2 linked regions of the Sus scrofa genome follow. The protein of the gene in region 1 interacts with the protein of each later gene in a biochemical or structural test. Links are inferred from orthologs where the notes say so. Each region holds a gene or a part of one and is shown in the gene's direction. Other genes may lie near its edges.

Region 1 (6,903 bases):
CGGATTCGTTAACCACTGCGCCACGACGGGAACTCCCCAGGCTGTTTTTGTGGTTGGAGCTGGAAGTTCTAAACGCCTCCAGAGCCCACACACAGTTGTGCGCACCCGCAGCTTTGTGATCCCCACGGGTGCCCAGCAAAGACACCTAAACACTGGCAAATGGAGCCGTAGGCCCATACTGGCTTCAGCTGTCATGCATGTGGCTCATCACAGTCACAGCTAAGGGAGGGTATGTGTCTGCACGGGCTGAAAGAGGTCTGTCATGAAGCATTTGTAGGGTTGTTGGAAAAATACACAACAGGTGCGGGGGCGGGAGGAGGCAGGGTTTGGTGGCATGCAGCAGTCCTCTGTCTGTGGTCTCTGCCATGAAGCTGCAATTATCTTCTCGAGGCTGCTGTTGGGATGGGGGTGGCCATTTCTGCAGGTAATCTTTGTGCACAGACATCAGCATTGCATGGCACTTCTCCTTGGCCCCCAGACTCCTAGGAAGTGGAGATCCCTGTCCTTAGGCTGGTATTCGAGGTCCCCAGACTCCTACTAGAGGAGCCCAACCTTACCAGTCTCCCTGCTCTGCCCTTGTCCAGTCCAGTCCGGTGCTGGCTGGGGGTCTCCTAGTCCAGGGAGGTGTTTCCTCCTCCTGGGAGTCCTCTGCACTCAGGCTCACATCTGCTGATAACCTCAGAACTCCCAGCATTGTCCATCTTTATCTGTGAAGAGAGAATGGAGTCCCTGAAATGGAACTGGGCAGGGGGTGGCCCGGGAGTCTCGAGTAGCTGGGTAGGGTCTGCATCAGCCCCACCCTGAAGGAAGGGGCTAGTGGAGTTCTGAAGGGGTATCCCTGGGAGGAGCCCGAAGGAGGAGGCCGGCAGGGAGTCTGGAGCAGCAGTGGGTGCCTGGGTCCTTGGCGAGGAAGGGGGGCTGGATCCAGAGACCATGTGCCAAGACTCAAGAACGGTTGAATGGGAGTTCCTGTTGTGGCTCAGTGTTAATGACCCAACTAGTATCCATGAGCATGTGGATTCGATCCCAGGCCTTGCTCACTGGGTTAAGGATCTGGTGGTTGCTCTGAGCTGCAGTGTTGGTTGCAGACGCGGCTCAGATCCCATGTGGCTGTGGCTGTGGCTGGCCGCTGCAGCTCTGATTTGATCCCTAGCCTGGGAACCTTCATATGCCAAGGGTGCAGCCCTAAAAAGAAAAAAAAAAAAAAAGAGTGGTTGAATGTCTCCCATGCTGCGTCCCCCGTTGTGCCCTCGCAGTAGGAGACCAGCCTGTCTCCAAGATTGGCCTCGCAGGGCACTGAGCACCGCTCCCCCTCCCTCCACTGTGGGGGTTCCAACGGCCTTCGCACAGCCAGGATGGTGTCGTGCTTGGTCCCCGTGGCTCAGTCCTGTCACCCATGACCTTCGGAGGGTTGAGAACAGCCTGCAGCAGGAGGGGCTGTAGCCCCAGAGGACGTCCTGGGAGGAGACTGACCTGGCTGCTGGCCACCAGCGCCCACAGTCTGATTCTGTGGCTCCTGCCAGTGGGGGGGTACTCATCAGCAAACAGTGCCTAGAGGGTCTCCTAGTGTCCTCTAGGGGGAGGTGGGGGGTGACTGTTCCCATTCTGTGGAAGAGGAAAAGTGTTGAAAGCCATGGAGGCAGGAATGGACTGATTTGATTCCAGAGCTGGCACCTCCCAGCAAACAGTGGCTTTGGCTAGTGGTCTTTCTTTTTCTTTCTTTCTTTTTTTCTTTTTAAGACCACACCTGCGGCACATGGGCGTTCCCAGGCTGGGGGTTGATTCGGAGCTGCCGGCGTACACCACAGCCACAGAATGCGGGATCTGAGCTGCGTCTGTGACCTACAGACCATGGCTCATGGCAACACCGGCTCCTTAACCCACTGAGCAGGACCAGGGATTGAACCCGAGTCCTCATGGATACGAATTATGTTCGTTACCACTGAGCCACAATGGGAACACCCTGGCTAGTGGTATTAGGAACTCCTTGCCACTGGCATTTCGGGAGTCACAACGGGACAGACCTAGAGTAGGAGCTGGCCCACAGATATATTTGGTTCCTCCCTGCAGAAGACACTTTTGTTTAATCGCCTACCCCCAGAACCCACTGGTATACAGGGAGGCCAATTAGGGTATTTTGCTAAGGTTCAGCTTTTAGGGTGAAATAAGAGGAGGCTGCCTTTCTTCTTCTTCTTCTTCTTTTTTTTTTTTTTTTTTTGCCACCCCACAGCATATGGAGCTCCCAGGCCAGGGATCAGATCTGAGCAGCAGCCTTGAACGAAGTCACAGCTGTGGCAACGCCAGATCCTTAACCCCTGTGCCAGGCCGGGGATCGAACCTGAGTTCCAGTGCTCCCAAGATCCTGCTTATCCCATTGTACCACAGTGGGAACTCCTGCCTTTTTTCTTTATACATCCTACCATCGCCTCTGACACCTGCTGTGTGCCAAGCCCTTAGCACTCCAGGGGAGGAGACCAAACCGCATTTAAAATCGTCATCCTCACAGCGACCTCTGCTGGCGGCACTGTCTGCTGAGGGGATAGAATCAGGGCAGGCAAGGCCAGGATGGACTTGGCAGCCACTGGGAGGAGGAGGCATCTATGCATCAGAACCAGTACTGGCAAGGGCTGGAGACCAGCAGATGCGTTTGGGGAATGGCAGGGTGCCAGTCTGGCTGGAAGAGGAGCTGGCACTGAAGCTGAGCCAGAGGGGACAGGTTAAGGCGGAGAGGTATGGCTTTGGTGGGAGAGGTGGGCTGCAACATCGCTTTTTTTTTTTTTCTTTTTTAGGGCCGCACCTGCAGCATATGGAGATTCCCAGGCTAGGGGTCCAACTGGAGCTACAGCTGCCAGCCTACACCACAGCTACAGCAACGCAGGATCCTTAACCCACTGAGCAAGGCCAGGGATCAAACCCGCAACCTCCTGGTTCCTAGTCGGATTTGTTTCTGCTGTGCCACGACGGGAACTCCTGCAACATCACTTTATGCCTCACCCCCAGACGCAGCTCCCGCAGCAGAAGCTGCAGCTGCAGGAGGCGTGTATGCGGAAGGAGAAGAGCGTGGGTGTGCTGGAGCAACAACTGGTGGAAGTGGAGGTGAGGGGCTTGGGGCGGCAGAGTGGGGGGTGGGGGTGGGGAGGCCTGGTGTGTGTGTGGGTCCAGGCTGGGGGTCCCCAGCCAAATGCTTTTGCCTGTCTTCCCCCTCAGGAGACGGTGCGTCAGTTCCGGGGGGCAGTGGGGGAGCAGCTGGGCAAGATGCGGTTGTTCCTGGCTGCACTGGAGGGCTCCTTGGACCGAGAAGCAGAGCGTGTGCGGGGTGAGGCGGGGGTCGCCTTGCGGAGGGAGCTGGGGAGCCTGAAGTCTTACTTGGAGCAGCTGCGGCAGATGGAGAAGGTGCTGGAGGAGGTGGCAGACAAGCCCCAGACCGAGTTCCTCATGGTGAGCATTGGATGGCTTTCCTCTCTGCCCCGCAGCCAGGGTTCAGGCCCCTGAGACCTCGTTCCATTGTCACTTTGTCTCTGAGGTCCAGGGACCAGGCACCAGGCACAGAGGAGGGGTGCGCCCCACCCCTGTCCCCAAAGCCTACCTCATCTCCATTCTCTTCTTCTCTCTTTCCAGAAATACTGCCTGGTGACCAGCAGGTGAGATCAGCCTGGCCCTGCCCCTTTCCCACCTTGTCCTTGTCTGCCAGGGATGCTGGCTGGCTCACCCTCTGCTCCCATTCCGTCTTCTGGGATCCCCTAGATGTGGACATACGAACGAACTGACTTGTCCTTCTCCAAAGGGGCCTCGCAGACTGGTGCTGGCAGCAGCCATGGGCAGAGACACAGGCATCCTTCAGTGCTGCTGTGGTGGGGGGGCAGGGTCGCCGTCCAGAGGGGTGTGCATTAGAGCTGGATGCTGAAGGAATGAGCAGAAGTTGGCCAGGTGAAGAGCTGGTGGAGGGAGTTCCGTCGTGGCTCAGCAGTTAACAAACCTGACTAGATTCCAAGAGGATGTGGGTTCAATCCCTTGCCTCGCTCAATGGGTTAAGGATCTGGTGTTGCCTTGAGCTGTAGTGTAGGTCACAGATTCGGTTCAGATCCCATGTTGCTGTGGCTGTGGTGAAGGCTGGCAGCTGTAGCTCTGATTCGACCCCTAGCCTGGGAGCCTCCATATGCCTTGGGTGTAGCCCTAAAAACACACACAACCGCCCCCCCCCAAAAAAAAAAACCCAGAGTTGGTGGAAGAGCATTGCAGGCAGAGGGACCAGCAAGGGCAAAGGGTGCTAAGAGGGAGGGAAGGGGGAAGCTGCTGGGGCAGGAGGGGCCGCACTGTGCAGGGCGCAGGAGCTGGACTTTAAAGCAACTGATGGCTTTGAAAAAAATCCTGGTAAGGAGTTCCCGTTGTGGCTGAGCAGGTTAAGAACCCAACTAGTGGAGTACCTGCTGTGGTGCAACAGAATTGGTGGCATCTTGGGAGCACTAGGATTCAATCCCTGGCCTGGCACAGTGGGTCTTTAAGGATCCCACACTGCTGCAGCTGTGGTTCGGGTCTCAACTGCAGCTTGGATCTGATCACCGGCCCGGGAATTCTGAAAAAACAAACAAAAACCTGACTAGTATCCTTGAGGATGCAGGTTTAATTCCTGGCCTTGCTCAGTAGGTTAATTAAGGATCCGGTGTTTCCACAAGCTGTAGCGTAGGTCGCAGAGGTGACTTAGACCTGGTGTGGCTGTGGTTGTGGCATAGGCTGGCAGCTGCAGCTCCAATTAGACCCCGTGCCTGGGAATGTCCATATGATATAGGTGTGGCCCTAAAAAGATAGAAGAAAAAAATTCTGATACAATACACATAACATGAAAATGACCATTTTAGCCATTTGTTTGTGTACATTTTCAGTCCAGTGGCATTAAGTACCTTCACGTGGTTGTGCAACCATCACTACCATCCAGCTCTGCAATTTTTTCATCTTCCCCAACTGAACTGCCCACAGAGGAGTTTTAAGCCAGGGTGGGATGCGGGGGAGAGCCTAGGTCTCCACCACAGCCCCTGTCCTCCTCGCGCCTGGTTACTGTGGCTTGCCCTCCCCTTCCTCCCTCCCTCCCTCCTCCAGGAAGTCCTTTCACCTCCCCCCACCTCCCCACCCCCCAGGCTGCAGAAGATCCTGGCAGAGTCGCCCCCACCTGCCCGCCTGGACATTCAGCTGCCTGTCATCTCAGACGACTTCAAATTCCAGGTGTGGAGAAAGATGTTCCGGGCCCTGATGCCAGGTACTGGGAGGGGCTCCCTCTGGGTTTGTGTGTGTAACTGTGTGGTTGGTGGGAGCCCCCCCTCCAGGGGTGCCCCCATCCCCTCTGGTCATCCAAGAAGGTGCCCATGGCGCCCTTCCCTCGGGGTTTCCCTGCACCTTGTAACCTGTGCTCAGAGAAGGGCCTTGGAGGGCGTGGGGTTTCAGATGGGTGACTGACAGGGAGAGAACACTGCTTACTGGAAGGCTGCCGCTGCCGTTGGCCCAGAGGAGGCTTGAGCCTTGGCCTGTCCCTGCCCCTGCTGGATGGTGATGATAATCCCTGCTAACTGGGGGCTGAGGACCTGCAGAGCTGGAACCCTGGAGTCAGACACTGACTCTGGCCTGTGGCTGGGGAAGCCCAGGGGCTCAGCCTCCTCTGCTCAAGAGCTAGAGCATGGAGTTCCCATTGTGGCTCAGGAGGTTACGAACCTGCTAGTATCCATGAGGATGTGGTTTGATCCCTGGCCTCGCTCAGTGGGTTAAGGATCCCATGTTGCTGTGAGCTGTGGTGTAGGTCACAGATGCAGCTCGGGTCTGGGGTGGCTGTGGCTGTGGCTGTGGCTGTGGAGGGTAGCTGCAGCTCTGATTCTACCCCTAGCCTCGGACGCGGTCCTAAAAAGCAACAACAACAATAACAAAAAAGGTAGAGCATGTTGGAGCTACAGTTGGGGGCGCTCTAGGGGACACACACACACACACACACACACACACACACACACACGGCTGGTGCAGCCCCCATTGGTGGGAATGGAGGGTCCTCTGTTTCATCCAAGACAAAACTAGAGCCCAGAGACCGGGTCAAGACCGATGGAGGTGAGGGAGGAGCTGGCCCAGTACCAGGCTTCCTGACTGTCCCCTGCGCTGGGGACTTAGATGGCAAGTGACATGCCTGGTATGGACTACATCCTCCCCCCAACCCTGGAAGGAGGCAATGACGGCCTCATTTTACAGCTGAACAAACAGAAGCCCAGAGAGGTCAGCTCGGTGGCCCAAGCCAGGAAGCAGAGAGGGGCTCACCTCCCAGAGGTGCTGCGAGGATCAGAGGAGGCAAAGCGGGTCCACAGAGGGGGGCGGGAGAAGGCGCGCGGGAGCCAAGCCCTCGGCGGCGAGACCCTCCTCCCTCCCACAGCGATGCAGGAGCTGACCTTTGACCCCAGCACGGCCCACCCGAGCCTGGTGCTGTCGGCCTCGGGCCGCCGCGTGGAGTGCTCGGAGCAGAAGGCGCCGCCGGCCGGAGAGGACCCGCGCCAGTTCGACAAGGCGGTGGCGGTGGTGACGCACCAGCTGCTGTCGGAAGGCGAGCACTACTGGGAGGTGGAGGTGGGCGACAAGCCACGCTGGGCGCTGGGCGTGATCGGGGCCCAGGCCGGTCGCCGCGGCCGGCTGCACGCCGTGCCCTCGCAGGGCCTCTGGCTGCTCGGGCTGCGCGAGGGCAAGATCCTGGAGGCTCACGTCGAGGCCAAGGAGCCGCGCGCCCTGCGCACCCCGGAGAGGCGGCCGTCGCGCATCGGGATCTACCTGAGCTTCGCGGATGGCGTCCTCTCGTTCTACGACGCCAGCGACGCCGACGCGCTGGAGCTGCTCTTCGCCTTCCACGAACGCCTGCCGGGCCCCGTGTACCCCTTCTTCGAC
Region 2 (7,676 bases), on another chromosome or scaffold:
TGGTCAAGCTTGGCCCAGCCGTGGGGAGAGATAAACAGGCCTGAATACACTTCCCAGATTGCAACACTGGCGAGTCAGGCAGGGTTGGACAGCTGTGCCCTCACGGCGTCCCTGGTTGTCCCTGATAAGGAAGAACATGGCTCATTCCAGTGTACAGCCGCGTGTGCACACATATAAACAGACACTCCCAGGCCCTGGTGTTGTTTTAGAGTAAATTATTGACATTCTGAGTGGCTGAAACACTGGGAGGCAAGGTGAGCGCAAACTTACTCTGCTCAAGAGGAGCTCCAGGTTCGTTAAGCCAAAAATAAATCAAACCAGGGCTGTCATTTGGCACCACTTTGGTGCCACCTTTTGAACCTACCTGGTCATAGGGCATGATCAGGAGTCCTCTGAGGCTCTGGAAAGAGGAGGGCTTGGGGAGGAAGTCAGAATAAGGGGAGGTAGATTTATGAAGGAGCAGATGGCAAGATACCCAGAGAGAAAGGTGTAAAAATGTAAATATAACTTCACCACAAAGAGTAACACTAAGACATCTTAAACCCCCTCTCCAAAAAAGTGAATGTTCTTCTTAACGGCCACACAGTGCATAGCGAGTGGGGCAAGTGGAGAATTGATATTAATACCCCTGCTAGTATCCTATCACACCTTACAATAACACTTCACATCGCCTTTATGAAAAGCAATTTTTAGTTTACAAGGGGCTTTCGCATTCATCTTTTCCATCTATTCCATCAACCCACTCAAGTGGGTAGGGCATTATGAACCACATTTTACAGATGAGAAAACTGATGCTTGGGGAGGATGTAAGCAATTAACTGAGGCATAATTAAGAGCTGGGGAGGGGCAGGTTTGTCCTAAGTAACTCAGAGTTAAGATACTTACTGGGAAGGCTGATTCCTTTTTGACAACTGCTCAGAGGCTAACTGCCATTGCATTCCTGGCTAGAGCAGCCCTACCTTCTCCAGGGTAGTCCAGAACAAGTCTCTCTAAATAAATACTTCGCTAATAATTTTTGCTTAGTGCTTAGATCACGGCAGCATAACATCTGTGAGAATTAAAGCAGCAGGGAAAATTTCTAGATCCCTCTATGCCCTTTTTACTCAAGTATCCCATCCCTGATCAGTTTTTTCTGTTCTGGAAAAAATATCTGTGGGTTCTCTGAGCTTACCACCTTGCTCTCAGGTGGGGAAGAAACCTCCTTATTTGCAGAGGAGGTTATGGAAGTGCAGGACCCACCTAGAGGGGTCAGGCAGGTGTTTGGCAAGTGCTGAGGCCTATGGTGGAATCTATCAGGAGTGGTTCTCAAACTTTGGCCTGCATCAGAATCATCTGGGGAGCTTGTTAAAGACTTAGACATCCAAGCCCCACCCTCGACCCTCTGAATCAGAATTCCCAGGGTGGGGCCTGGACATTTGTGAGCTTAACAAGCTCCCCAGGTGATTCAGAAGTACACCAAAGCTTGGGAATCACAAGAGTGGGAGATACTCAGGTGAAGGAGAGTGGGGAGCCAAGTTTGGCTCCAGGTTTGTGTGTGTGTGTGTATAGCTGTTACATAAGGGGACCCAACTCACAGCACATGGTTTGACAAAATTCAAATGTATTCATGGGAACAAGGGAATAGATAAAAATTTTGAAAACAGGTGGCAGTGAAAATGGGATATAAATACAAGAGCTGCCTAGAACACTTTTTCCTGCCTCCTTTGGCGGGTTGACTTCTGGGTTCCGCGTCACTTCTTTTGGAGAGCTTTGTAGAGCGGTGTATCTCAAACTTTACTACACAAAGGAATCACCTGGGGACCTTGTTAAATTGCGAATTCTAATTCAGTAGGTCTGTGGTGGAGCCCTAGCCTGCATTTCTAACAAGTTCCCAGGTGATGCTGACACTCTAAATCTAGACCGTATTGGGAGTGCCGTGTAAATTTAAAGTATTTCTTAGTTCACCATATCCTCATGTCCAGCAGGGTGATGACTACAATAGGTGCTCAATAAATACTTACTGAATGATGAAGTATATGGGGTTGATATAGGAGTTTGGAGGGCAGAACAATTTGCCTGAAGAAGAGCATGTTTGGGGTATTTCTGCTTCTATCAGTCATTCATTTTGTGAAATCACCTCATACTGAATAGAATAAGGATGTTAGTACTAAATTATTTCTGGCCTTGTGGCCTGGCCGCCTCAACTCTAATCCTTGAAAAGGTGACCCTATACACAGGAGCATAGCAAACTCTGATTTGCAAGCTCAGAGATGCCTTGCTCTAGTCTACAATCCATGCAAACAAATTCTCTCCCTCCAAGGAGGGAGCAGAGTGCAGGGAAATGCTTGTGTAGGAATTTCCAGATTTTGGTGACTGGGTTAATTGCCACCTTGGCTTCCTCAAATCAAATAAACAGAATTTTTAACAGTGTACGTGGGAAGGAGGGTCATTACCCTAAAATACATGGATGTAATAATAGTGCCATTATTTAACCATTATCGTTTATGATGATGATAACGACACTGGCAGTTGAGCGATTAAGTGTGTGGGGGAGTTGGGGGAGGGGGCGGAGAGCTGGGCGGTCAGGAGAAAGTGGAACTACATCTCCCAGAATCCCTCGAGAAAAGTTCACGCCGCGGCGGCGGCGGCACCCCACCCCTTTTGCCAGCCGGACCCGCCCCCTCCGATGACGTCACAGAGGTGACGTCACGGCGCCCAGAGCGAGGCTGGGGTAGAGAGGCCGACTGAGCAGGAATCGTCCGCTTGTCGTGGAGGCTGCTAGGGAGCCGGCGAGAGGGTGAGCGGGCGAGCAGGCAAGCAGGCGAGCGAGCTAGAGCAGGAAGGAGGGAGAGTCGCGCGGCACAGAGGCGCGCCGGGGCTGGGCCGAGGCGGAACCCACAGCCGGAGAGGGGCAGCCTGAGCCGGGCGCCGCGGGGTCCCCACCCCCACTCGGCCGGACAGTGCCCGGTGTTCCCCCGTGCGGGGGGCGGCGGCGGCGGCGGCGGCTGACGGGACCGGACAAGACCGCGGGGGTGTTGCCACCTCCACCGAGGAGCCGGCGCGACCGCGGGCTCCTCAGAGCCGGGGCCCAGGGCCCGTGACAGACGGGCCGAGGAAAGGAGAGAGGCGGCGGCGGCGCAGGCGACGGGGAGGCAGCGGCGACACCATGTCATCCCCTAGTCCGGGCAAGAGGCGGATGGACACAGACGTGGTCAAGCTGTATCCTTCGAGGAGGGGGGATTCGGGCTGTATGTGGGGGGCAGTATGGGGATGCCCACGGCACCCCCTTGAAACCTAAACAGGGGCCCAGGGGCACTCCAGGCCACTGTCCGAGGCTCCTTCTTTCGTCTCCCTCCCCCCAGTGCCTACGGAGGCTCCTTGGCACCTCCCAGGAGCTGAGAGCCTTCTCGGCTCCCCCTTTATCTGCAGCACCCCGAAATGTGCGTTGTTCCACGCTCTTTCTGCACCCCCAGTGCCCGTGACTTTTCTCCACGACGTTTGGACTCCCAAAACGGCTTTTTTTTTTTTTTCTTTCTTTTCTTTTTTTTTTTTTTTTGCAGGACCAGCCACCTCTCTCCACTACAGAGCCCACGTTCTTTTTCCTCTCTGCTCGCTCTGGATTTAGGGACTCGATATAGAAATTCCCGAGAGTGAAGCCTTTCTCCTGTTCTTGAGATGCCTCCATTCCCTCCACTCACAATGCTTCTTGAACTGGGGTAACTCAAGTGACCTCCTTTATCCCTAATTCCTTTCTATATTAGGAAGAGAGTATTCTACTCAGTGCCCCCTCTTGTAATAAAGAGCTCTGAGTGTTTTCAATCCGAGACCCCTGTTAAGCTTCCTTGTCCCTGGAAGAACCCCACCGACAATGCCTATCCCACCCATAGTTGTATTTGGTGAGGACCCCCAGGCCCTCCAGCCAGCCACCCTCCATATTGTGGCTATGACAGCTGTGGGGAGGGAGAGAGAAAGAGGATCTCCCTGACTAAATAGCCCCTGTGCTAGCCATTTAAGCAAACTCCCTGTTTGAGAATAAGGTTCTTGGGGAATAATTATCCTGATCTTGCCAAATGACACCCTTTATTTTCCGACCCCCCCCCCAACTTTGTGTACTCTGAAGGTAGCAGTGGGACAGCTCTAACTGATAAGAGTCCTTCAGGCAGTGGTTTTGGTTGGAGTCCAGACTGATTATTTCATGACCAGCTAGAGAAATTCGCGAAGGTTCTTGGGACAAATCGAGACATTTTTTTGAGGGGTAATTTAGAGGGTGGGGGGAGAGAGGAAATGAGCCCAGTGTTGTGAACAGCTAATCCCTGGGGAGAGGGGAATCCGGGTGGGGAGTGGTAGTGTGAGAAACGCAGTTGAAAAGTCTGTCTCTCCTGCTTCTTGTTTCTCCCTCACCCCATCCCCCCACCATTTCCCCCTGTTGCAGGGTTTTGTTTATATAACTCAAGTTGTTTGGCTAGATTCTTCAGGTGAATTCCTTCTTTCTTCCTTTTATTGTTACTGTTTTTGATTGGACGTTTTGCCTCATTGCAGAGATCAATGATTATTGTTAAGTATTCTGTTAAGGAATTCGCTGAAGTTTTTAAAAAGTAGTTTTTGCATTTGATTTGGAAGTGGGGGATGGGAGGGAAGTTGCCTGGGCAAGTGATTTTCCCCCCGCATAATCTTTTCAGGAACAAGGTGTTTTTCTCCTCGCTCGGGAAAACTTGATTAGAAATTACAAACAGTAGATGAACTTGCAAGTTTTGTGGTTTGAAGTTTAGAATTTTGGAGAGGTTGAAGTGGGGATTAGAGAGAGGAGCATGTAATAAAGTATATATTTTGTACCAAATGTATGTCTAGGCACAAGTGAAATTGACCCTTGGGCTGTGATTGAGTTTTGTAAATGTGTGAATGATACCAGTAATGTTGGCCTTAAATACAGTGGCAGGAAAACTTGTAACTATGGCTGTGTGTACCTTTTACACAAAGCAGTTTCAGGTTTTATTTTTGTTTAGAAACTAGGAAATGACATGATGGCAGAACCTGAGTTATTTTTATCTTGAATTGAGACTGTCACACCTAATGCAAATTTCTACCTAATGTTAAATTGGGATGGGTGGGGGAGAGAGAATTCCAGCTGTCTTTGATCAATGTCAGATTCTCAAATTATATACTTCTATATTTTTTAGAAAACTGAGGATAAAGGGTGAGGCCTAACTTGACCTGATGCCTTTTCCATACAGTGCCTTTTGTTCATTTAGTAGTTGTGGCATCTAGAATGATTACCGTATTTAGGAGTCGGGGTGTGGGGGGTGGAGAGGGAGAGGAAAACAGACAAAGAACAGCAGGGTGTCTTTCTTTTTTTTCTTCCCCTAAGTGGCTTATTTCATAGCTTATTTTTAGTAGAAGATGAAGAAAGGCAAAGATGCATTGGCCTTCTGTTCTTTCCCCACCTTCCTCCTTTCTGACAAAAGAAAGCAGAGGCGCTTTAAAATCGTAGATGTCTGAGATAAGAGGACCACAGTCTCAGGATTTAGAAGCCAGAGGTTATCTTTGTTTCGAGTCTGTTATTTTCTGGTCTAAGTTAAATTTTTTGTATTTCCTTTTGTGTGTGCCTGTGTGTTGTGGGGCTGAGAGATTTTGTGGCCTCCTTTCTGTGCTGAATTCACATTAGTAGGCACAAATGGAGACTACGATTTTTGAGCAAGGTATATTTAGCACAAAATTTAAGGAAAAATTCCCAACGCACTACTAAAATGAACACAATTGTGTGAAAGCGCCGAGGGTTGAAAATGAAAGATGGTGGAGAGGAAGTGGGAAAGGTCTGAAGGAATGTACTTGCTTTTTACCCCCCCAGTGCCCCTTGGTGATTTCGTTGGTATGGAGGCTGATAGCCGGTTTCGTTGCAGTCTTGTTTCAGCCCATTTTTGGATGTCTCCTGAGCGTAATTATGCCACCACGATTTACAGCCTGGCAGGGAACCTATATAGTAGGAAAGTAGCGGTGTGGGGGTAGGGAGAGAAGAGGATGTGTAACTAATTGGCCACTGCCTTCCACTACCTCGTAGGTTCTTTCCGAGACGCTGTCCCTGGTTGTTTGGAGTCGGTGATATTTCTTTTGTGACGGGTTGGTAGGAGGAAAGCTGACTTCCAAGTTATGGAGGGAGTGAGTGTTTTGCACCAATGCATTTAATAATCTGGGCGATTATGTTCTGAAACTCTGACTCATTCATTGTTTCTCTTCTGATCCTTTGCTGAGGGTTGTGCAAACCTCTCCAGGAGCCTAGAAACTGATGTACATGACTTTTGGGCCCTGTAGGAATGTGTCCCAGTCAAAAAACTTGCAGTGAGCCCAAATCCTGTGGAATGGTGGTTTTGAATAGTGTTGCTGTTTGTTTGCAAAGTCAGGTAGATTGGTGATCCTGTGCTGTTCCCAGCCTGGCAAGCTTTGAGGTTTCTATCTCAAACCTGCCCGATTATTTAGATTGTCTGAGAACTGGGACTCTGGTGACCTTAAAGCGTGATTTGCCCTAAAGGAATATCGGTTTAAGTTCTCCTGGGTGGAGGAACAAACAGCTCAGATTACACGGGTTTCCTTGTTGGTGGGGGTTACTCGTCTCACCCTGTTGCACAGCCTGGTGATCCTTTTATCTGTGAACCAGTGGCCCCTGCTGAAGGCTAGAGCTGCTTGTTTTGGAAAAGCGTATGCAGGCAAAAGGCCGCAGGCACAGCTCCTCACAGCTCATTGGCTGCTCTGTTACTACCCGGAAAAGGAGGAGGGGCGGAGCTACCAAACAGCTGATGGAGTGTGTGATCAGAGTGTGTTTATATATACAAAAGAAGTAGGGGCTGGCGAGGCCTTGTGAGTGGTGTTACCGATCAGGTGTATTTTCAACAAGTAAAAAGAGGAGAGGAAAACCTGCCTTGTTAGAGTACAAGAAAATGTTCAAGGTTAAATCAGAAAAGTGGATCTGATAATAATGGGGGCTCGGCATGCAACTGTATCTTGTTCTTGAGGTGAGATTTTGGAACTTATTTTTATAATACCAAAAGTTTTCAGAGTCCCTTTTTCAAAGTGTGTAACTTAAAAACTGGATAGCCACCACTTTAAATGTATTTCACTGATTCCTGCAGGGATGCAAAAGTATGGTAGAAATGTTAAGCTTTCCTTACAAAAGTTTTAACAGTAATGTCCAGAAAGGGGCAGTAACTTATACTGAATTTATTAACAGCAGTAGTCAGTCACAGAAACCTAGATTTCTGCTTTAGGGTTTCAGAAGCTTTCAATAACGAATTCATCGCCTCACACATTTGTGCACCCTCTTTGTGCCAGGGGGCTAGATGCTGCGGGTTTAGTAGTGAAAAATTCAGTGTGTGTGGTCATGAAGCTTATGTAACCAGTTAAACAATTTAAAAGAAAAAGTATTTATTGCAGGTGAGCGCTGTATCACCTTGTTTTTTGAATAACTTGTACTTTCAGAACTGACTTTTTAAGGAATAGAAAGTTTAAAGTGAATTTTATGTAATGGGATGTATGGGAATCTATATTCCTGTTATTTAAAAGATAGATGTTAAAAAACTGAAATAAAAACAAATGTTAAAATGTGTAGCCATTTGTCTTTGACTTCAGCTTTGGTATTTTGCTAATCAGTAGTTAATCAGTAGTTATTCTATTCCTAAGTTAGTAGTCTTTGTTGCTCTTTAATTTGT

Evidence for each region.
Region 2: the proteins of TRIM72 (region 1) and UBE2H form a complex in vitro, tested with the Homo sapiens proteins (2 studies listed by BioGRID). The link is inferred for Sus scrofa from reciprocal best matches to the Homo sapiens genes TRIM72 and UBE2H.

What each region holds. Positions count from the first base shown.
Region 1 is NC_010445.4:17,289,020-17,295,922, reverse strand, and holds part of TRIM72 (tripartite motif-containing protein 72), read left to right. Parts: intron 1-3,000; coding exon 3,001-3,096; intron 3,097-3,207; coding exon 3,208-3,438; intron 3,439-3,618; coding exon 3,619-3,641; intron 3,642-5,132; coding exon 5,133-5,251; intron 5,252-6,400; coding exon 6,401-6,903. UniProt on the Homo sapiens protein: Muscle-specific E3 ubiquitin-protein ligase that plays a central role in cell membrane repair by nucleating the assembly of the repair machinery at injury sites.
Region 2 is NC_010460.4:18,816,943-18,824,618, forward strand, and holds the start of UBE2H (ubiquitin-conjugating enzyme E2 H), read left to right. Parts: upstream 1-3,527; 5' UTR 3,528-3,654; coding exon 3,655-3,695; intron 3,696-3,715; exon of another isoform or gene 3,716-6,983; intron 6,984-7,676. UniProt on the Homo sapiens protein: Accepts ubiquitin from the E1 complex and catalyzes its covalent attachment to other proteins. E2 ubiquitin conjugating enzyme that transfers ubiquitin to MAEA, a core component of the CTLH E3 ubiquitin-protein ligase complex.